4 linked regions of the Caenorhabditis elegans genome follow. The protein of the gene in region 3 purifies or fractionates together with the protein of the main gene of each other region. This does not show direct contact. Each region holds a gene or a part of one and is shown on either strand. Other genes may lie near its edges. The genes, in order: rps-19, nol-58, rplp-2.1 and rps-9.

Region 1 (5,317 bases), 2.8 Mb from region 3:
TTTCAGATCTTCTGGGCGAAACGAATCATCTTTGAGAATACTATTGAGAACCCTCTTACCGATTTGGCAAGAATGAGCTCGTTGGCTGAGGTCAACTTAAACCGTTATATTCTTCCGAATTCGGAACTTCTCGAATTTCTCCAAATGTGGTCAAACGGACAGATGGGTCACCGTCTGCGGAGTGTCACTATCAATCTCGATTGCCCGTTATCAAAGAGCGAACCGATTTTGAATGGTCTCCAATATTCGAAGACAAGCGATATTGAGTTGTGAGGAATCAGTTCTTTGTGGCAGTTTTGATTATTCTTAATTCAGATCGTCTCCGCTTACGAAGGCTGTTGAAAAGAACAACTATATTTCGTACGTTCTATATCGTGAGTGGAAAGTGTTGCGTCCCGATGGCCTGCAATCGACACGTGGTTTTCAAAAAGAATCTCTTTCGTCTGGGTATGGAAGCTCTCTTCCTGGTTCCGGACCTTCGACTCCTCCATCGGAATCAAATATAGAAGAAGCAGGAGTTACTCCGACGAACGCCGAATCCAAAAACATGTCCTCAGGGCAGCACAGTAAACAAAACTCAAGTGATGAGACTCAATCTCGAGGTTTATTTCTAGATAATTATTTCTAGTTAAAAGTTGAATTTTTAGACCGATCTGGTTCGGGTGTATCAGGAACTTCATCGAATGGCGAGGTATCATCTACTCCGGGTAGGACTGTTTGGCACGGAGGTGCGTGTGCATTGCTCCAGATTTCCCAAGATAAGAAGAACATTTTGTTCACGGCAATTCACAACGAGAAGTTCGCATGCGAACTTGCTAGATTCCGCTTTTCTACATCTAAATAAATGTCCACCAACATTCATTTAAAAATTGTATCTATCGTTGTATGATAACTAATCTTTAAAATTTTTCCGACTTCCAATTGATCGCAAGTTTGTGAAACCATAAATAGCTTAACCCTGTATTTTATTTTCTTTATCAGAAATGCCTTTCGCGATGTTTAGCGAAATAATTTGGGTATCAGAATAGGAAGTTAGTTTCTGCTAATAATGTTTCAAATTTGATTTCGGAAGAGCAAGTAGATATATTAATGATTGTATTCAAGTTCTGTAGCTTTGTTCTAAGGTCCACTAAAGACGTATAATATTTTGTAGACTGATTATTTCACTATTCAAAAAAGTGAGAACTATACAGGTGTATATATTCAAACGTTTCGGGCGAAGTTTTTCTTTAATAACTTTTTTTTCTGATTCATAATTTGCGCCATCATCTTACTTTCTTGTTAATGGAGATGTATCATGAAGTTTTTTATAACAACAACATTTATAACACAAACAACGAGTGTTTAGGCTTGTTGTCCAGAGGATCTGAGGCTGGTGGCGATTCTGTCAAGATCCTTGCGTCCCTGCAAAATTTAGTTTTAGTACGATGTTGAAAATTTCGAGAAAATTCAAAAAAGAAAACATGCAGAAATTTAATTTTAATATAAACATCTAATTTTGCATGTTTAATTTTCAGCGCATATATTTATGAATAATTTTTAATAATTTATTTTTACAAAAAAGTTCGAATTTTATATTTTTAGATAATAAAATAGAATACTCACCTGCTTGGAGAGAATTCTTCCTTTGCCGTCTGGGTGCTTCTCAACCCACTTGATCTTCTCGAGTTGCTGAACAGCCTTTCTGAGGCAGTTTCCAGCTGAGGTTTGGAAATGGTTTGGTGCAACACCACGTCTCTTGTTTCCTCCGTAGACCTTCTTGAAGGCTCCGATTCCTAAATAGAAAAATAAGTAATGATTTTGTCAATAAAAAGTTACCGGCGGGGCGGAAATACAAGTGACGAGCAAGACTGGCAGCACGGGTGTAGAACCAATCTGGATCGACTGGGGCAAGCTCCTTGTTGACTCCGAGCTTAACAAGATCGGACCACTCTGGAACCTTAACCTTTCCACTCTTCTTCAAGAAGTGAGCGATGGACTTGGTAGCCTCGTGCTGGTCGACGTCCTTGATGGAGGTCGCTCTCGTCATTTTACCTGAAAAGGAAAAGTATAGCTTTGAAAAAATCGTATATTAGAAGACGGAAAGAAAACCCACTGCCAAAAAAACTATTCTTAACAACAAGCGCTTCAGAAAGTGGATATTATTTAAGAAAACTGTAAACGTAACATATTTCCTCCCAATCAATACATAGAAACTCGAAAAACCGTGAAAATCGCGTCAAAAAATTGAAAAAACCTGTAGGAAAAGAAACGAAAAAATTCTTCACCGCTGATCGTAAGACATAACCTGCATACCAATTGGCTGCGTAGCGACTCGGCACGCGACCGCAACGCACCGGGCGACACTCAGTACATTTTTTGAACAGCGGGGGCGGGCGTTTGAATTGAATTTTCAAACGATTTTTTTTGACGTCGTAACTTTTTGTTTCGCAGACACTTTTACGCTTAAAATGGCAAAATTAAACACATATGTTACAGCATAGACTTGAAGAACTGAACTGCTTGGAGGAAAATGGCATCGTCTTCGAACACTATGGGTAATTTTTTCGATATAATAAGAATGTGAAAGGTTAATTAATATTTTTGCGGGTCAAGCATATAAAATTCAACCTTATTGAAATTAAGGTGGTCACTCGAAGTGAATATCGACTCTAAAAATTAAACTTAACTTACGTGAAGTTTTCCTTTTATTTTCTGTTTTCAGAATTCGAAGAAGACGACTCCACCGTCACACAGACAAGGTTACCTGCTTTTCGAGTATCCATACATATTTATCCCACTATTTCAGCCTCCCCACAACAACTTCAGTTCTGGATAAAAGTAGGAGTCTTTTTGGGAACTCTGCTGTGATTTCTGTAAGTCCAGTGTGTTTGTATTAATCTAAAATTTGCTTACTTAGACCCCAGCTAGAGATTCAACTCCTGATGGGCACATAGTCGATTCGAGTGTCATTACCAAGTCATCAGTTATCATAGAAGCGGAAGACGAGCCAGATGTAGCTGCCGATGTTACTGCACTTGATAAAGAAAAGGCAGAAGATGAGCCACAATGTTCAGCCGGTAAGGATGCTAAATCTGGAGAAAGCATGAACGACTCGGAAAAGTCTGAATCACCAATTGAAGAAGGAGAGGGAGAAACTTTCGAGAAAAAAATTATCTCGATGGATACTAGTGACGATAAATTAGACATTGCTGAATCGATTTCTGTTTCAAATGATACCGAGAAACCTGAAGAAAATGAAGAAAAGGTGGTTGGAGATGAAGATGAAGAAGATATTGATGATGTGCAAGAAGACGACGAAGACGAAGCTCCAAAAAAGAAAACTAAGGTTTGTTGATAATTCGAAAAACCTAATTTTAATCAATTAATATTGAAGAAGGCAGTGTCAACGTCAGATGACGACGATCTGCATGAAGATGATTCTCCAAAAGGAGGTAGTGTGAGCGACGAGAAAGAAGAACCAGAGAATGAGGACGATACAGAGGAACCCGAAAATGAGGTTGAAGTAGAAAGTCCAGTGAAAGAGCAAGCAGATAGTGGTGAACCTATTGAGAATGTTAATGATGACAAGGCGTCTGAACCAGGCGTTGGTGAGATTTCACAAGACAGTGTTGATGATTCTCAAAAAATTGGTCTCGATTCAAAATCGCCAGATGGAGAATCAGAAGCAAATGAAGAGAACCAAGAATCTCAATCTTCTAGCCGCAGCACTCGTCGCGCTAAAAGAGTTTCAGCAACTGTTTCGTCTACTCCTTCGTCAAACACTCCACGCCGTGGTGGTCGTGGGCAAAAATCGGAAGTGAATGCAGATGAAACGAAAACGCCCATTGTTAGTAACAGCACCCCCAGGCGTGGTCGATCTTCCAGGGGTGGAGACAGAGATGAAGTAATTGATCCTACGGAGAATGTTGTTGGCGACTCTGGCGTTGAAGAAACATCACCGCGCAAGGGAAGATCAAGACGCTCTGTTGCAACAGAAGACACATCTGTCACCGAGGAAGTTGAAAACACGGAACATCCAACTGAAGAAGAAACTCCGAAACAGGGGCGTGGAAGACGTTCAGCTGCATCTTCTTCAGCAACTTCGTCTGCAGTGCCAACACCGCGGTCCACAAGAGGAAGAGGAAGAAAGTCGCAAGCAAATGAGGAAAACTTGCAAGAAAAAGAAACCGAAGACCCTACAAAAACTCACGATACAAACCAAGCGAAGTCCACCCGAACTCCGCGAGGAAGGCGTTCTAATGCTGATGCTGAAACTATGGAAAGTGTAGAAGCTGAGAAAGTCGAAACTCCAACATCATCTCGTAGATCTACAAGGGCTAAGCCTCCTGCAAAATCTGCTCCGGTGACGCCGGCTGTGACAAATAAACGAACGACAGTTCGTGGAAGAAAGAAGCAAGGTTCTATCACAGAAGACCCTATCGAAGAAGCTGATGAGACTATTGAAGAAACTCTACCACAAAAGAAAGGTCGTGGAGCAGCTAAAAGTGCGCCTTCATCGAGCAAGAAAAGTGCAGAATATGATCCATATGATCTTGATACTGAAATGGAGCATCATCCAGAACCTTTGAAGAATATTCACGTGAGAATTAAAAATTAATGTTTATCTGTAATTTTGCTTGTTTTCAGATGGAAGTGCACAATTTTGGTGCTGTCAAGTATGCCAAATTGGGTAATTCAGAGTCAAAGTATTCTATGACAGAGAAGGCGGCAGAGTCTAGAATTGCTGAGTTACAATGTAAGTTGTTTTGTAGTTTCTTGAAATTAAGAATATCTATGCTTTCAGCTTCTCCTGCTGCTAAGAATCGGCGTTCTCTTGCTGATATGACTCCTGGTAAAGATAAGATGAAGCATAGAGTATCGTCTGTAGGAACTTCGGGAAGAAGATCAAGAGCTAAAAAGGAGGAAGAACATCACGAAAATGATATTGAAATGGAAGATGCGCCTGCAACTGCTACCCCAGCTTCGTCAAATCGTGGAAGAAAGAGAAAAAGTGAAGCTTCTGACATCAAAACACCTCCGGCGAAAAAAGAACCAGTTATTCCTCTTAAAAATCTATCTGATGAGGATCAACTACTAGTTGATCATCCACAAGACGATAATGAACCTCATGCTCCTGGAGCTCGAGTCTACGCTGTGTTTCAGAAGATGTTTTATCCCGCTGTCGTTCTTTCGGAGCGTGATGGTCTCGGAAGATACAAGGTACAATTCACGGTTGATAACGTCATTAAAGATGTTCCAAATTCTGGAATCATTCCACTTCGCGCTTTATCCCCTGGCAAAACTGCAGTCTACAACGAATCCGATGTTCGATTGG
Region 2 (6,588 bases), 3.5 Mb from region 3:
CGCCAAGCCTAAACCTAATCTTATGCCTAAGCCTAAGCATAAGACTAAGCCTAAACCTAAAAATCATCAGAGTCAACATCACTGTTCCCTGCATTTGCAAGTCGTCGGCACGGCCACAGACGTCCACCTACAACTACAGTACCCAGCACAACTTTGGAGCTTATCACTGAGCCAACTTCCACTGAAAGTAATCGATTTGTTTATCAGATTTCAAAAATCAGCACTCCTTGATGTTTCAGCGATTCCAATAACTACAACGACAGCAGAAACAACCACAACAACATCTGAAGAGCCTACAGTAACCGAAGAAACGACGACGGAGCTCGTCACTGACGTCACAATTGCTCTGCCAGACGAGGAATTTGAAGATATTAACGCAAAAATCGAAACGGAGAACCATCAGTTGCATCAGATAGAGGAGAATGTTATTTCAGGTAGGTCAAGTGGCCTAGAAATTCGCAAGTTAGGCCACCAAACGATTTAGGTTTTCTAACTAGAAGGCCGCGTAAAAAAATTAGTGAAAATTCGGCCAGCCATTCTCCTTTAATTTTACATGCTTCCGTTTGGAGTGTGGTCGAGGTTTCTTACTAGAAAACCTAGGCCACGGTAAAGTATTTAATTTTAACTGTTTTATATCAGTAAAACATTCGGGAGAATGAAAAATGAATATTGCTGAAATTTTAACGGTAATTTTCGAAAAAAAAAACACAATTTTTTAACTCTCACCACGATTTCTATGAAATTCAAAGTTCGTGGCAAGACCCAGATTGAAAAAAAATCGATGATTTCCAGCCCTATCCACGCCAACATCTACAATATCCGCATCACCAAGTCCACCATCACCACTTCCGACGACTTCTGGTCCATCACCACCATCACCACCTGCGCCTCCACACGAATTCTCTCTCCATGGGGCCGGGCCGCCCGGTTTAATGCCTCCATCGGATGATATTGTCGACGAATTGAATGGTTCTTCTGATTTCTTGCAGGCCGCTCAGAGGCTTCACTTGCTCAGAAGACTTCTTCAATGATTTATGTGTAATGAGCATCATAATAATCATCAGAATAACTTTCCAGATACTCAAAAAGTCGTTTAGTTTAGTGTTTTTTGTGATTTTTGAAGATTTCTTAATATTTTCAACCCATTTGTTGTTACGGGTTTATGAGTCGATTCCAGTGAATAAAGGTTTTTTTAATTAAATATTTATTTTTTCCTTTTGTTTGACTTAAATTTTGTTTCAGAATCGTTTGAAAAAACTTATAGTTATGTAATTAAATTTAATAAAAAAACAAACAAAATCAACTTTTAAAAAAACTACCGTATCCACTTAAAGGCGCATCCCTCATAGATATGGGTATATATATATCATGATATGGGTCTTACCACGCTTAACCTCTGCGCCTTTAAACAAAGGGTACGGCAATTAAACAGTTTCAATTTTTGATTTTCTCATGCTTTTCTCGATAAGATAATCCCTGAAAATAAAAGCTTTTTGAAACCAATTTTTATCTCAACATTTTTTTTTGGAAAGGACAACATAACAAATAAGGAAAACAACAAGGGCAAAGAATTGTAAAAAGAAAAAACAAGTGATTACGATAAAAATTAATTTGAGGAGGAGACAGTTTTTGTGTTTGAAGAGATTTCAGATAGAATGTGTTAACAATGGGGAAAATCTGATAAACCTGATACTAGCAAGAAATAACGAGTCAAATCAACAAGAACATACAGTCTTCGTGGTACAGAAACACGAATTACAACAAAAGAAACGGATTATCACTCTCGTCGGCACCCCAATTGCATCTATTCTTCATCAGAATCAGTATCGGCCTTCTTTGCTTTCTTTTCCTTCTTCTTCTTTTTCTTCTCTGGCTCTGCTTCATCTTCCTCCTTAACCTCTTCGATCTTCATCTTCTTGATTGCGTTCGTGCTTTCCTCGTTATCATCGAATCTCTTGTGCTTGCGACTGGCTGGAGTGTCAGCAGACGCGTCGTATTCGTATGTTTCACTCTTGAACTCGTACTTGTCGTGTCGGTGGGATCCAAAGCTCTTATTTTTGGATGGCCCACGTTCTGATTCGGTTCTGAGCACGTTCTCAAGGGCGGCACGGCATTCGATTCCGATCTCGTTGGTGGCGGATTCGTCGGAAAGTGCGTCGATACGAGTGGCAAGAGAGCACTTGGCAGCGAGCTTACGAGCCATCTGGAATTAAAAAAAAAAAATTTTTAAGGTCCTTGCCGATTTTTAAGTTTAACAGAAAAATCAATAAAGTATTTAACTAACCTTTCCCTTGACCTTTGGTGGGGCTTGTGTGATAAGTTGAGCGTGGTAGATCAATCCGTACTTTGGAGTATCCTTCTTCGTCTTGAGAGCACGGAAAAGAGCCTTCTCGGCTCCAAGAATTTGAATCGTCGAGGCTGGTGCCTTGGCCAACGAAACGAGAGATCCAGCGTGAGAAATGAGACGGGCTCCGACGAGCTCTCCGAGAAGAACTGTGAGATTTGGAGCGAGAGCAGTCATGCGATTTTTGAGGTAGTCGAAGAGTTGAGCACTGAAAAAATTTAAAAAATAATTTGTTTTGAATAAGAAATTGTATAAATTCACTAACCGGTAGGCAGAGAGCTCGATGACCTGGTCACAAAGACCCTTGATGTGAATGAGATCAATATCAGAAATGTCAGTTCCCATTGAAATCTCAGCATCCTCTTTGACCTTCTCCTCCAACTCCTCTGGAAGAATCGATGACAAATCGGTGTTGATGCAGTTCTGTCGCATGCCAATGGCCTTGATAATCTGAAAATTAAATAATTTAATACGGATAATTCACCACTGTGAGCCTACCTTAGCATAAGCTTGATGATCTTGGATAGTCTTTCCGAGCTCTGGGAAATGCCATCCGTACCATTCTCTGACACGCATAACATAGTTGTTCAACTCCTTGTCAAGATCATCGAGCAAAGAAACAGCCTGCACGATCATGGTGTCGATCTTTTCTGGGTTGAATTTGACCTTGTAACGAGCGAGCGAGTGAGCCACGGCGAGATTCATGGCATTCATCTCTTCCTTGTGCTCGGCGAGCAAGTCTTCGATATGAGCGCGAACTCCTCTCATCAGCTCGTTGATGGAACTGTCATGGACGCAATTCAAAGAGAGCTTCTCCTTGATCAAGTTTCCGAGCTTGGCATCACCGACAGCCAATTTTTCGGTCTCGTCGACGCTCGACTTCAAAAGCTTCTTTAACGTCTTGCTGAGCTTTCCCTCTGTGATCTCGGAAGTAGCCTCGACGGCTCCAGCGGTAGTCTTGAACTTCTTGAAAGAAACCAGTTGCAAGCTGTAAGAAAAACAGTTTTAAAAAATGAATTTAATTTCTAATATATACTTTTCTTGAGCCTTCTCGGCAGTGCTGAACTCCTCCCAGATGTTATCCACATTCTTCAGCTTCTTCTCATTGCTGAGCTTGAATACTGCATAACCGGCTGCGACCTCGAAAAGGACCAGCATCTTCTTACCTGTAAAATAGCAAATAAAGTAATGAACCGGTTAAGAGAATAAGGACATCATAAGATAAGATTAAAGACGTAAAATCGATATTTTTAAATTACACTCTGAAAATAAAGTTTTTAGACTGATTTTTCAACATTTCAGGGATATTTTTGACAAAACTACATTTAAATTATCATTTTATACACTTTCCTTCAAAAATTTAGATAAAAACTTGGAAATTTGGCTGAAATTATTCGAAAATAGGACCAGTTTAGCCAAAAAAAGAGGAGAAAATATCGCTGGCAGACAGCCAAAGAAAACAATCGTTGCGAGACCCGCGCGCGGGAGTTTGAAATCAACGCCTGTGTACTCCTCTCGGACAAGTCGTTCCACACAAATATTCTCGCAGATTAATCTGCAGATTTTCGTGTGATTAATTGATAAATCTGTGAAAAACTTCGAAACCGGATGTTTTTCTCGTGGAATGTTGCAGAACAATTGACTTCTTCGAAATTGGATCTTAAAAATGTAATTTTTTCCTTCAAAATATGAAAAAATACCGGCAATTTCCTTGCTTGCAAACTTTTTTATGGCGAAAAGAGAATTTTCGCCATATATTTCTGTATTTTGCACATTCTTCTCGTTGAATTATGCTTTAACATAGCTAGAATTGATTTTTCTTCGAAGCGAAAACCTTACAATTTAAAAAATCGATAATTAATATATTTCACGTGACATTTCGATTTTAACTTATTAAAAATTCAACTTTTTTCATATAATTCTAGAATTTTTGCTTGTTAAAAGCTTTTTTTTATCTTTAAAAATAAATCTCTTCGTTAATTGCTCTTTTTTGCCAGTTCACCGGTCGATTTTGCTCATTTTATCAGAAAATCAGTTCCCATAACTTTTCTGCAATTATTTTCTCGATTTTCTCCTCAAAAATTCAGAATTTCCAACCGGAAAATCCCCATTTAGAAGAAAGTATTGCGAAAACCCGAAAATTCGGTGCGAAACGCGTCAGCACTGCCCATGTTGACGCAAATCGGTTTTCTCGAACATTTTCGCAAAGCCGAGTGATTCATAAGGTCATGCCACTCACTTTTGACCCGCTTTTACCCGCATTTTTGATTTTCTGGAACGTATTTCCATAGATTTTTAGTTAAAAGTATAAATTCGCAACGAAGATTCAAAATTTAAATAGTCAGTGTAAATATCGATTTTTTGAAGATTTCGAAGAAAACCAATTAAATTGATTTTTTTCCAGAATGTACAACTACAACTACTCCCGAGGAAATAAATCGATGGGAAATCCGCCTCGATTTCACGAGTTAACGGATATGCCGGATAATGGAGCGTCGACGTCGGCGGCCGCTGGAATGTTCACAAGACAAGTGAGATTTTTGGAAGTTTCACGGAAATGGAGATCTGCGAAACATTTTTCTCGAAGAAAATATTATAACAATGCTCCGAAATCATCCCCTGAAAAAAATGCTAAACAAAACATTATGATGACAGAATTTACTGAAAAAGTTGAGGCTGCGACTCAGCTCAATTAAAAAAGTTATTTTTAATTTTTCGCTCATTTTAAGCAAAAAGAATCAGCTAAAACGTTGAAAAATCACTGGGCGAAAAAACGGAATAAAATAAATATTTTATTCGAGCCGCTCCGCTGTGCAGTTGCGTCGCGGTCATGGCCGCGGACTAGGTTCACAAATTTGAAATTCTGCCATCTCAAGAAATTAAAAAATTTTAAATTAAAAAATATTTTTCTTTGAAGAAAATTGCACCGTGCCAAATTTTCTTCAAAAAAATTTTAAAACGAAAAATTTCAGGACTCACTTGCTCTCGCCGCATCCCTCCAACAACGTGATCGGGAACGAAATCCTGTGGATTTTATGGAAACCCAGCTGGATCTGGATAATTATCTACAATGCTTTACCGATTTGGATGTTCCTGCGGATAATGTCGACTTAAATGATGCTGAACTTCAAAAAGCAAATATTCTCTACGATGATGACTCTTACGAGCAGCCGCAACTAAATCCATACGAACGGCACGTGGCTTATGGCCCCGGTTTTCGAAATCCCGGTGAATACGAGGAACAAGACGGATATAAAATGAATTTCGAGGTGAAGACCGAGGAGGAGAAGAAGCCGGAAACGATGAAAACTTCGAAAACTATGACAACTCGCCGAGCTATTAAACGACCTTCGTGTTACGACGATTATCAGGAAGAAGGAGAAACATCGCTTTCGGATAACGATGAAAGTGTCGATGATTCTTATTACAAACCAAAAAGTTCCAAAAAGACTGCTGCAGCGGTACCAAATTTCGTGCCAAAAACCAAGGCTCGAAAATACAATCTAAAGCCGGATAAGGAGAAAGTGGAGCCCATCTATAAATTGAAACGGGCTCGAAACAATGATGCCGTCCGGAAAAGTCGAAATAAAGCGAAAGAGCTGCAACTGCAGAAGGACGAGGAGTATGATGAGATGAAGAAAAGGATTACACAACTTGAAGCAGAACTACAATCCGAGCGGGAAGGCCGGGAACGTGACCAACAACTTATCAAGCAACTAATTCGCGAAAAGTGAGGTGCCAGTAGCGAATATTTCTATATTTTTTAATTTGGAAATTTTCAGGGAATCGACATCGAAAGGACCAAGGAAAAGCTCTCGAAATGCACTGGAAAGCTTTAATAAATCAAATTATTGATTCTTTTTTTCTTGATTGCTTCGTTTTAGATTCCATTTCTTATGTATCAATGTAATCGCACCCCTTCCCCGGTTGGAAAATAATTTTGAAATTACTCATTCCATTCTTAACCCAGTCTATGTTTGTGTAATAACATGTTTATATATTGCGAAAAATTGTATATTTATTTTAGGAAAAAAGAATTGACTAGAATACTGGGACATGGGGACAAAACATGGATTTCGAAAAAGAAAAAGAAAACCTGAACTTTGAAAGCTATACCCAAAATTATATATGAGAAATGAAAATTATACTTTACATAATGAAAGGAACAATTTTCTTCTCAAACTTCTTGAATTTCTCCAGCCTTTTCGGCGCCTTCACCGTCTCATCACACCGCCCATCAACAC
Region 3 (5,134 bases):
AATTCCGCAAAAAGCAGCGTCCAACATAAGGAGGGGTGAGCATTATTTCGCAACTCCCCGGAATGGTTTTTTCGTCCGTTATCCAGCGTTTTTTGCTGATTTTTTTCCACAAAATTTACAATTTTACTTGTTTTATTCTTTTTTTCGAACGAAAATTATATCCAATTTAATGATCATGAGATTGTGAGCACGTTTCATGTTTTTACAATCAATTTAGCAAACATTTTTCATTCGAAAAAAAGTAAAACCGAAACTTTATCGAAGAAATCAACAAAACTGCAGTAGAAAAACCGTGCCATGCGAAATTGTGCCCCGCCTATCTTTCTGTGAGACGCTGCTTTTTTCGAAATTAACAGATCGATCTTACAGTTTTGACAGAATTAAACTACTTACAAACTATTCCGTTTAGGTCATACAAACTGACAAAACTATTGGATAAGAACGATAGATAGGATGCAAAGTTGATTAGGAAGACAATGCTCCAGATTGAAAGCTACAGGGTCAACATACTAACTATGCGATCGAGAAAACAATGCTTACCGATACTTTTTCGATCCTCCTCGTTCGTCTTTCCACTCGCCACTGTATCATTGGAAATCGCCGACGTGACACGAGCTGTGTCCGACGGCGACGGAACAACAATCAAGCTTTTCACCAGCTTTTCAGTCGCGATGCCGACTCCGTCAGCCGTCTCGTCCTCAACTGACGACTCTTCGATAAGCGGTGGCAACGTGTTTGCAGTTGTTGGAGTACTTGCGCAAGACGTACTCGCTTCTGAAGTCATTGATATCTCGGCACTGGGACTCCGAAGAGACTCACCGATGCCTGACGATGAGGTGGACAGAGAGGAGAGCAGTGCGGTCGCTGAAGACGGTCGCACAATATCTCCCACCTTTTCGATGTCTGGAAATTTATAAAATGGCTGAGCGGCAAGTCTGATATAATTACACGACATCTAAGATTGCAAATCTCAAAAATTCTAATTAATCTTGAGAAGTAAATTAATTCATCCAAAAAAAAGCAAAAATTCGTTTTTCAGGAAATTTTTTTGAAAATTTAACGTGCATTTTGCAATTTTTAAATCAAAGCTTACTAGATTGAAGCGGCGGTGTACGTGAGTGAGGAATTGTGGACCACGTTGAGGAAGCCGCAGAAGAAGTATGTGCTGAGGCAGACGCTGCTCCCCGCATCGACCGACACGACCATTCAGCGCCAACTATTTTTTCTGAAATTTTCTGCAAATATAACAATTGAATTCGTCGGACCAATTATCAGATTATTCGAAAAACCATAGTCAGAGAATTTTAATCAAAATAGCATAAAAATCAATTTATAACGACTTGATATCTACTTAAGAGAACTTTTGAACGAAGAAGATTTTTCTAACAAATATAGTCTTGGGGAATTATAAATAGTTCGTTTCTCCTTTACTGTAAAAAGTTTTTTGAAATTTAAGCCAAAACTGATAAGTATTTTAGTTTTCTACGGCGCGAAATTTGAATTGCCTGAAGGGAAAAGTGCAAGGAAAATCAATAATGGGGCGGAGTTTTGGTAGAGAAATGCGATAGGGACGTCGAAAAGCTGTTCTTCTTGCACCCAAAAGTCAAAAATGGAATATCTGAAAATCAGAAACTATCCTGATGACGTAGTTTGCGCATGGCAGTTCGGCGGTTCCGAAAGAACGGCGGACACTCACGGTCGTAACGCGACCGCGACGCAGCACCACCGCGTCGCGGTCGATTTGATACTCAACCGATTACTCAATGTCTGCAATCATTCAGGCTTTTTTAAAAGCAGATATCAACATAACAGACTAATAAAAGAAAGATGTAGCTATGAAATATGGAACTTTTGAAATTGTAAATTACATTACAGATTCGACTTCAAAAATCGATAACGGAATTCTTCACTTTTAGATGATGCTTTAATGCAGTGTATTAAGTTATCAAATTTTTATAAAGCATCAGACAGTAGAACTGACGTGAAAGTGCTCTTTGCTGAAAATGGCTGAAAATCGAGCCAATTTGCGTAAATTGGTCAATTATTAAAATATCGCACACGTGAAACGAGTGATACCGTACCCGAACTGGCGTCTCGGATAGACTTCTGTGTCTGCACTCTCTTTTCTCCTTCGAAACTCATGAAATCCTAAATTTTTTGCCTCTTTTTTCGAGTTTTTAACTGAAAATGGCCGTTTGTTACACCTTTTTTAAAAATTAATTTGTTTAAAATGATAGTGCTTTAAAATTTGTTCAGAAAATAACGAATTAATGTTTTCTGAAGTCATAGTGAATTTATCTTCCATCGCGAATTTGTCGGAGTGGTTTATTTTTTCTTTTGATTGGAACTTTTTGATAAAATAAATAAATAGTTTTTTACAAACTTATTTTTCTAGCTTCTTTATCTGAACACGTTTATTCACAACTTATTTTGTTTTCTTATCAAAATTTTGGACCTGTTAAACTTATATTTTCAGCCATGAAGTACTTGGGAGCTTATCTTCTCGCCACCCTCGGTGGAAATGCCTCCCCATCTGCACAAGATGTCCTTAAGGTCCTCGGTAAGTTTTATATCACGTTTTTCCGATATAAATACTTATATTGCAGAAGCCGGAGGTCTCGACTGCGACATGGAGAACGCCAACTCCGTCGTCGATGCCCTCAAGGGAAAGACTATCTCCGAGGTTATCGCCCAGGGCAAGGTCAAGCTCAGCTCGGTCCCATCAGGCGGATCTGCCCCAGCTGCTGCCGCCCCATCAGGAGGAGCCGCACCAAAAGGCAAGTTTTGTTTCACTAATTATGACCCACATTTAAAAATAATCCATTGCGGAGCACGATTTAAAATTTCGAAGCAGTACAGGTGGCGTGAGTCACTTAAAAATTTAAGCAAGTAAGAGATTTTGAATACTATGTGCTCCGCAGTAGTAATTTTTTATCTGGGTACGCAGAAGATCCCTATTTTTTTTAAATTCAAATGTTTCAGCCGAAGAGAAGAAGAAGGAGGAGCCAAAGGAGGAATCCGACGACGACATGGGCTTCGGTCTCTTCGACTAAATGTGTTGTTAAAGTTGTTATTCGTCATTCAATGAACGATTTAAAAAAATTTGCTCGAAAGTCGCGATGTAGAATTGTTTGAAACTTTGGGGAAAATGCCGTTATATGAATTTATCTAATTTTTGAGTCTCGAACAAACAATCCGGAATTTACATTTAGCAATCAAAGAGTGATCATGTTGAAGCCCAGCCTAAATGCTGCTGCGAAATGGATGATTCGAAATACAATAGTTAGCAATGAAAGTCTAACTCCAGAAATCAATCTTCATCTTATTACAATTGCTAGTCCACTGTGGATGAGCACTCCCGATGCTTGTCCTCTTCCAGATCCCTATTGGGCATTCTATTGGCCTGGCGGCCAAGGCCTATCAAGGTTCATTCTTGATAATAAACCTTTGTTTCAAGGATCAGAAATTGTCGACTTCGGCGCCGGCTGTGGTTCAGCCTCGATATCTGCTTCTATTTGTGGAGCGAAGAAGATTCTAGCAAACGACATTGATAGATGTTTGTTTTTGAGATTGAAGTTAATCAGTGTAGAATGAGCTACTTATTTCAGATGCACTTCTATCCACGAAGCTCAATTTCCATCTGAACAATTTAAGAGATTCAAAGATTCAATACTCTTCGATCAATTTTTTAGATGATAAAAATGAAAGAATGTCCACTCAATTTTTCACTGACTCCAAAAATATCAGAAAATTCATTCTCCTAGGTGACATGTTTTACGATTCTGACTTTGCTGAACTTCTTTTTTCGTGGCTTAAAAAGTAGGAATATCTCAAAATTGGTGCAAAAACATATAATTAAATTCTACAGAATTCAAGATGCACATATGGTCAGAGTACTTGTTGGTGACCCCGATCGTCATCCACTAGCCGAATCCGAATACTTGCAACGGTGAATACTTTGCAATTTCATTTTCAAATAGAAAATGTTTCTCATAACCTCATAAATTCGGTTTACAGATACAAAACGAAGTTCACCAAAAATCAATTGGCCGAGTTTTCACTTCCAGGATACGTCATTAAGGAACATTACGGATTCAATACTGCGAAAGTATTTGAATTAAAATTCCAATAACTGTTAAATTTAAACTGAATTAGTCTTTCAGGAATAAAATTGTTGAACTTTACTAGAAACTATTGTAACTGGCCTCTAACGGAAAGAAAATCATTCCAGGACAATCTAGGAGCTCCAAAGTCTTACAGACAAAGGATGCATCGGAACTTTGAAAAAAACTCCTATAGAAGTTGAAAGGATTTTTCGAATTTAGGCTCGTGGAATTGTTAACTGCTATTGCTCAGACGCAAAATTTTGCCATTTTGTGCCAAAAATACGGTACCTGGTCTCGACACGACAATTATTGTCAAATACAAACGGGTTTGCGCTTTTTAAAGTACTTTTAAAGTACAAATTTTCACCGATTTTTCATAGCTTTTCGTTGAAAAAAAACATATGTACTCATTAAAAAACTAACATTTTAACAATTAAAAAAGAAACATACATTTTACTTAACAAGTCGTGACAAAAACTATGAAAAATCGATGGAAATTCCTCGTTAACGAAAGTTTTAAAGCTACAGTACTCCTTAAAGACGCATACCTGTTTGTACTTGACATAAATTTTCGTTTCTACACTTATGTTATATTTAGTACGCGATTAAGTATCTTGTACAATAGTTGTTCTATCATTAACGTATACAATTCAATTCTTCAAGATAAAAATTCACCAATTACAATTTGCAATTTTCACAACCAAACAGTACGCACATCTCAAAATACTTAAAAAATAAATAAAAACTGTTTCACATAAAAGTAGGCAGGCATCATAAGGCAAGGATTTAGATAGTCAGGGCATCAGGGGGAGCTTTAAGCTTCCTGTAGGTTTGAAAAGATATAAGCAGGTATGGCGTAGACGGCATGAGGTAGGCACCTAGGCAAGTATGAGGTAGACGTTAGAACGTAGGCATGCGTCAACCTTGATGGCTTTTTCACTTTAATAAGATCTCTGAAATCACTGAACACACAATAAAAAATTTTATTGCGAGAATACTACAGAAAGGAAAATAGAATAGCTACGGAA
Region 4 (5,180 bases), on a different chromosome or scaffold from region 3:
ATTCATTGAATTTATTATACTGACAAAAAAACCACCGTGAACAAGAACAAGATAAAATAAACGACACAGAGCGAAAGAAATCAGGATTGCACTAAACATAAGTTAAGAAGCTTTAGGGGTAAGTACGGAGAGAGAACCGTTTATTTTTTGTTGGCAGCGTCGAACACCTTCTCCACATCCGCATACACAACATCCACCGGACGTTCGCTCTTCACTTCTCTGACGAGTCCGGATTTTTCAAAGTGCTCGATGATTGGGAAGGTTTGTTGATTGTAGGTCTCGACACGCTTCTTCAAAGACTCCTCATTGTCATCGGTTCTCCCTTGGCCACGATTCAGACATCTTTCAATGCAAATCGAAACAGGACACGAAAGGAAAAGCACGAACTGGACGAGTGCTTTACCATCCATCTGCTTGTTCCATCCTTGAAGGTTATCCTCGTTTCTCGGGAATCCGTCAACCAGGAAGCCTTTAGCATCTCCACAAGCTTTCATGGCATTCTCGAGGAGGGAACAGGTGATCTCAACAGGAACGATTGACCCATTTTTGATATGACTTTCGATGAGAGCTCCGAACTCGCTTCCTTCTCTTTGACGTTCCGCTCGAAGCAAATCTCCGGCTGATAAGTGGACGTAGTTCAAATTCTGAAACATTTTTGTTTTAAAAGAATTAAGAACTTGTCAGGAAAAACTCACCTCTTGAATTTTAGCGCAAATAGTTCCTTTTCCAGATCCAGGAGGCCCGAGAACAAAAACCACGTTGTGCATGTCGTTTCGAGTTAACGTGCCGAATGAAACACTCTGACGGGTTGAATGAAGAGTGGAGAGACTCAGACGATGAGAAGAGCGGATAAGTGCGTGGAGAGCGAACGCAACTGAAATGTTTCGATAGAATATTTGACTGTTCGGGGGAGCGGGGGAGGAACGATTACCGTCTATTCTCTATTAGTGCTGCATGCAACACTAATTTCCAGGCCCTTTTTTTAATGTAGCACTATTAGAGACTGCAGTACTACTGGAGACTGCAGCATTAATTTTCGAACAACTATTTTCAATTTTAGATCACTAGTTTTTAGACACAAAAGCTCTTTTTTTAGCAGAAATTCATAAAAATTGCGAACTTTTGTAACAAAAAGACCCCATAATTCAATTACTCTCGTAAATTATCAAAAATTCATCAAAAATATACAAAAAAATACCCAAAAATATCGAAACTATCAAGTGACTCTTTCAATAGAAAATGTGGTGCAGCACTAATAGAGACTGCAGCACTATTTTTCGGACCCTTTTTGAATGCAGCACTATTAGAGACTGCAGTACTACTGGAGATGTAGCACTAATAGAGAATATACGGTAAGTATAAAATATGCATAACTGACACGTTTTAGCACGAAAATGCAAGCTTTTTTGGTTAAGCGAGAGGAAAGAGAAGCAAGCACCACCGCTCTATCGATTTCTCCTCGTTTTCTGTGGAGATTTGGCTGCATTAGGCATGCATTTGCGAGCAGATTAGAGCGCCAAGCAACTTATTTGAGATGAACAGAAGCTGTAAGATTTTGATGCGTTGCCCAAAAACAAATAAACTTACGCATACAGTTGCAACCCGAGTCCTTGGATCTTCTAAATACGGCTTCGATGGGAATTGGAAGTTGAAAGCAATCCTCCGATATATATTCAGATCATAACACCTTCAAGTAAAAAAAAGAAATCAAAACATTTTTGAAATTGAATCAAATTAGTTTACTTCTCGTCAGAATATCAAGGAATTACATAAAATTTCAAACAAACATAGCACAAGAAAGGGAAATTTCAAATTGAAAATCGAGATGTAGAATCAACCCGTGCGACGTGTTTTCTTTTTTCAGAATACAGATTCATGCATCGTGTTCTTCTGTTTTCTCTGCTTGTCGTTTTAGGAACTTTGGCGGATTTTTGGCAATATACTCATCCTCCAGCCGACGAAATTCTTCGGGAGACACCTGAAAGGATAAATTATTAAGAGATAGATTATAGAAAAATCATTTAAAAACCTGCGTAAGTCCAGTCTCAATGGTATCATCGATTTCTCCAGCAAGCTCAACATTCTCTCCGCGAATAAGCATGAATCCTTGACCCGTTTCACAGAAGTATTTCTCAACAAATGTGCGTTCTACGACATCTTCCAATATAAGATTGGCAAATTGATCTATCGATCTCAAGAAGCCAATCAATTTCCGTCCGTCGCGGAGAACAACTAATAATTTTTTGTCAAGCTGCTCGAACAAGCTTATTGCTCCGGGTAAATAGGGATCGGGCAAGTCCATGATCTGAAAACGAAAAAATTAGATTAAAATACGAATAAAACATTGAATTCGAAGAGATTTCAAACAATAAGTGGAATTTTCGGTTAAAAACACGGGCAAAGGCTTAAATCATGAATATTTAACATTGAATGCCAGTTCCTGATAGTGTTTTTCGTTGGTAAACGTTATTTTTACTAATTTTTATTGAAATTATATGAGTTTAAGATTTATATAAGCTCAAAACTGCTATAGACTCGTTAAAATTAGCAGGAAAATATTAAAAAGAACCGAATGGAAAAGAAACGAGAGACTGTGCATGCATGAGAGGGTGTTTTTTCTCTGGTAAAGGCACACCGATTTACGCGGGTGGGTCCCGCAACGACCACCGACCGTAGTCGTCCCCACTCTTTTAGGCCGAACCTGACAATTTTTCTTTTTTTCTATTATTTTTTGGGAAAATCGCTGAATTTTTGAATGAAATTGTCAGAAAATTAATTAAAAAAATGAATTTTCATTACATTATTGTTATTTTTATCGTTAATTTGTAATTTGCTTCCCTCTGTTTTCGTTGTTGCTGCCTCAAACTTCAATTTTCTATTTATTTTTTTCAGGGTTCAACTATGGCACGTCTGAAGACTGTGCAATCTAAAGTGACAAAGTCGCCACGCCGTCCGTTCGAGAAGGAGCGCCTTGACCAGGTTTGAAATGTCAAAGTAAAATTTATATTTTAAAATTTTGTTTTACAGGAGCTCAAGCTCATCGGAACTTTCGGACTCAAGAACAAGCGTGAGGTCTGGCGTGTCAAGTACACCCTCGCCAAGGTCCGTAAGGCGGCTCGTGAGCTTCTTACTCTTGAAGACAAGGATCCAAAGCGTCTTTTCGAAGGAAATGCCCTTCTCCGTCGTCTTGTCAAGATCGGTGTCCTCGACGAGACCAAGATGAAGCTCGATTACGTTCTCGGTCTTAAGGTCGAGGACTTCCTTGAGCGCAGGCTCCAAACCCAGGTCTTCAAGCTCGGACTTGCCAAGTCTATCCACCACGCCCGTATCTTGATCAAGCAGCACCACATCCGGTTAGTTTTTGTTTCTGTATAAAAATATATTTAAAAATGAAACAGTTTTTAGAACTATCATTTTAACATTAAATTCATCTTTCGGAAAATTGATTGTTCTGGCAGTTAATTTTTTACAAATGTTTTTCGATTTAAACCAGTTAGGTATTCCTGCGCTATTTTGAAGACTGATCCAGTAGTCATTGTCCGGAATATTTCATTAAAAAATTTATTTCACTGAAAGATGACATGACAAATTACAAGATTAGTATCGACTTCAAATTCTTCTCTTTCAGTGTCCGCAGACAAGTTGTCGATGTCCCATCCTTCATCGTTCGTTTGGACTCCCAGAAGCACATCGACTTCTCTCTTCAATCTCCATACGGAGGTGGCCGTCCAGGACGCGTCAAGCGACGCACCTTGAGAAAGGGAGATGGAGCCGGAGGCGACGACGAGGAATAAATTTGTTTTGGTTACAAATAAAATTGTTGGACATAACGTCTTCCAGTGATTCGTTTTATTTTTTAAAAAGCCTTTTGGAAGAAATAGTTTTACAAGCAATTGTGCGATTCCGTTGTTCACGTCCGAGCAAATTTGAATTTAAAAAATCCAGTGCGGTTTTTCTGGAGAACTTTCGCTGGCTTGATCGAAATAGTATAAAAATCATGGAAGCCGGGGGTGTGCAGCAAATTTTTTTTAAAAAAGTAGATTTTCCGCACATCAAAAATTTAACAATACATTTTTGACCAAAACTATTGATTTTGTACAAAAAATGGCACAAAATTAAGTTATTCTGATGATCAAGCAAACACAATACATGGAACTTATTAACGAATTGAGCTCCTGCGCTTACAGAAATGAACAATCCGTTCCACGTTGGCCACGTGGGAAATATAGCCAGAAACCGGTTCTTTCTTCTGCAGCTCTGCGCGCTTCAAGTGCATTTTCCGCTATGCCTATTGATCTTTGGCATAAATTTTATTTTGAACAAATGAAAAGAGATCCGATTGTGGAAATGCTCTTTGAAAGTACTGAAGAAGGACAAAACGTGACTCGGGATGACGGAGAAAAGTGGCCAGCAATGGTTTTTGGAGCGGTTTAGGAGCGGTTTAACTGCTTGGGCCGGGGGGTGGGAGGGGGGAGGGGATGAGTTCAACTCTCCACCACGGGAAAATTTTTTGCGAATTTTTTCATCCAAAAAAAAGGAAAAAAAAGGTCCAGAAAAAACAAACAAACATTTTTTTATAGGCAAAAATAGATGGATTTTCGTAACTTTGAAAATTCATAAATATCTTGAAAGAAATTTTTTTTTAATTTTGTAGTAAATTCTGAGCTCTTTTAGAATATACAACAATATTACAGAAGGTACAAGAAGCTTCACGTAGTTACAGAAATAGTACATTTTCAGCCCTACCTTTTAGTGCGTATTTTATTATTTAATGAAAACTACCATTAATAGGCAAAAATAGGTGGATTTTCGAAACTTTGAAAATTCATAAATCTCTTCAAACTAACTTTTTTAGAAATTCCCGTAGCCATTTTGTAGCAAATTTTATGTTCTTTCAAAATTTAAAAACAGAATTTCAAAAAATTTTGAAACCGCCAAGTTCAAGCAGAAAAAGTGAATTTTCAGTCATACCTTGTAGACCACAATTTATATGCAAAATTAATAGATTTTCCAAACTTTGAAAATTCATTTCTGGCTTCAAACTAACTTTTTTAGAAATTCCCGTAGCCATTTTGTAGCAAATTTTATGTTCTTTCAGAATTTATAAAAATTATATGCAAAATTAATAGATTTTCCAAACTTTGAAAATTAATTTCTGTCTTCTAAATTTTTTAGAAATT

The links.
Region 1: the proteins of rplp-2.1 (region 3) and rps-19 fractionate together in Caenorhabditis elegans (co-fractionation; one large-scale study listed by BioGRID). This does not show direct contact.
Region 2: the proteins of rplp-2.1 (region 3) and nol-58 fractionate together in Caenorhabditis elegans (co-fractionation; one large-scale study listed by BioGRID). This does not show direct contact.
Region 4: the proteins of rplp-2.1 (region 3) and rps-9 fractionate together in Caenorhabditis elegans (co-fractionation; one large-scale study listed by BioGRID). This does not show direct contact.

The regions. Positions count from the first base shown.
Region 1 is NC_003279.8:9,623,763-9,629,079, forward strand, and holds rps-19 (Small ribosomal subunit protein eS19), read right to left. Parts: upstream 2,035-5,317; 5' UTR 2,030-2,034; coding exon 1,819-2,029; intron 1,776-1,818; coding exon 1,606-1,775; intron 1,405-1,605; coding exon 1,345-1,404; 3' UTR 1,306-1,344; downstream 1-1,305. Other genes in the region: T05F1.2 (F-box associated domain-containing protein), read left to right, coding at 7-269, 316-602, 648-844; Protein hsr-9, read left to right, coding at 2,513-2,537, 2,705-2,741, 2,789-2,855, 2,900-3,328, 3,377-4,582, 4,630-4,738, 4,787-5,317.
Region 2 is NC_003279.8:3,264,016-3,270,603, reverse strand, and holds nol-58 (Nop domain-containing protein), read right to left. Parts: upstream 3,511-6,588; 5' UTR 3,503-3,510; coding exon 3,381-3,502; intron 3,333-3,380; coding exon 2,843-3,332; intron 2,795-2,842; coding exon 2,610-2,794; intron 2,553-2,609; coding exon 2,285-2,552; intron 2,204-2,284; coding exon 1,805-2,203; 3' UTR 1,492-1,804; downstream 1-1,491. Other genes in the region: pqn-72 (Prion-like-(Q/N-rich)-domain-bearing protein), read left to right, coding at 71-187, 240-434, 793-1,031; Transcription factor zip-4, read left to right, coding at 4,750-4,875, 5,317-6,074, 6,127-6,199; tyr-5 (Tyrosinase copper-binding domain-containing protein), read right to left, coding at 6,494-6,588.
Region 3 is NC_003279.8:6,787,081-6,792,214, reverse strand, and holds rplp-2.1 (Large ribosomal subunit protein P2), read left to right. Parts: upstream 1-2,476; 5' UTR 2,477-2,478; coding exon 2,479-2,560; intron 2,561-2,606; coding exon 2,607-2,777; intron 2,778-2,982; coding exon 2,983-3,053; 3' UTR 3,054-3,176; downstream 3,177-5,134. Other genes in the region: pqn-20 (Prion-like-(Q/N-rich)-domain-bearing protein), read right to left, coding at 541-774, 820-903, 1,094-1,190; etfm-1 (Electron transfer flavoprotein beta subunit lysine methyltransferase homolog), read left to right, coding at 3,229-3,556, 3,609-3,819, 3,869-3,949, 4,018-4,132.
Region 4 is NC_003280.10:11,124,075-11,129,254, reverse strand, and holds rps-9 (Small ribosomal subunit protein uS4), read left to right. Parts: upstream 1-2,892; 5' UTR 2,893-2,901; coding exon 2,902-2,979; intron 2,980-3,027; coding exon 3,028-3,353; intron 3,354-3,628; coding exon 3,629-3,794; 3' UTR 3,795-3,827; downstream 3,828-5,180. Other genes in the region: F40F8.1 (UMP-CMP kinase), read right to left, coding at 141-644, 696-874, 1,588-1,591; lsm-1 (U6 snRNA-associated Sm-like protein LSm1), read right to left, coding at 1,874-1,978, 2,030-2,302. UniProt on the Caenorhabditis elegans protein: Component of the small ribosomal subunit. The ribosome is a large ribonucleoprotein complex responsible for the synthesis of proteins in the cell. Part of the small subunit (SSU) processome, first precursor of the small eukaryotic ribosomal subunit.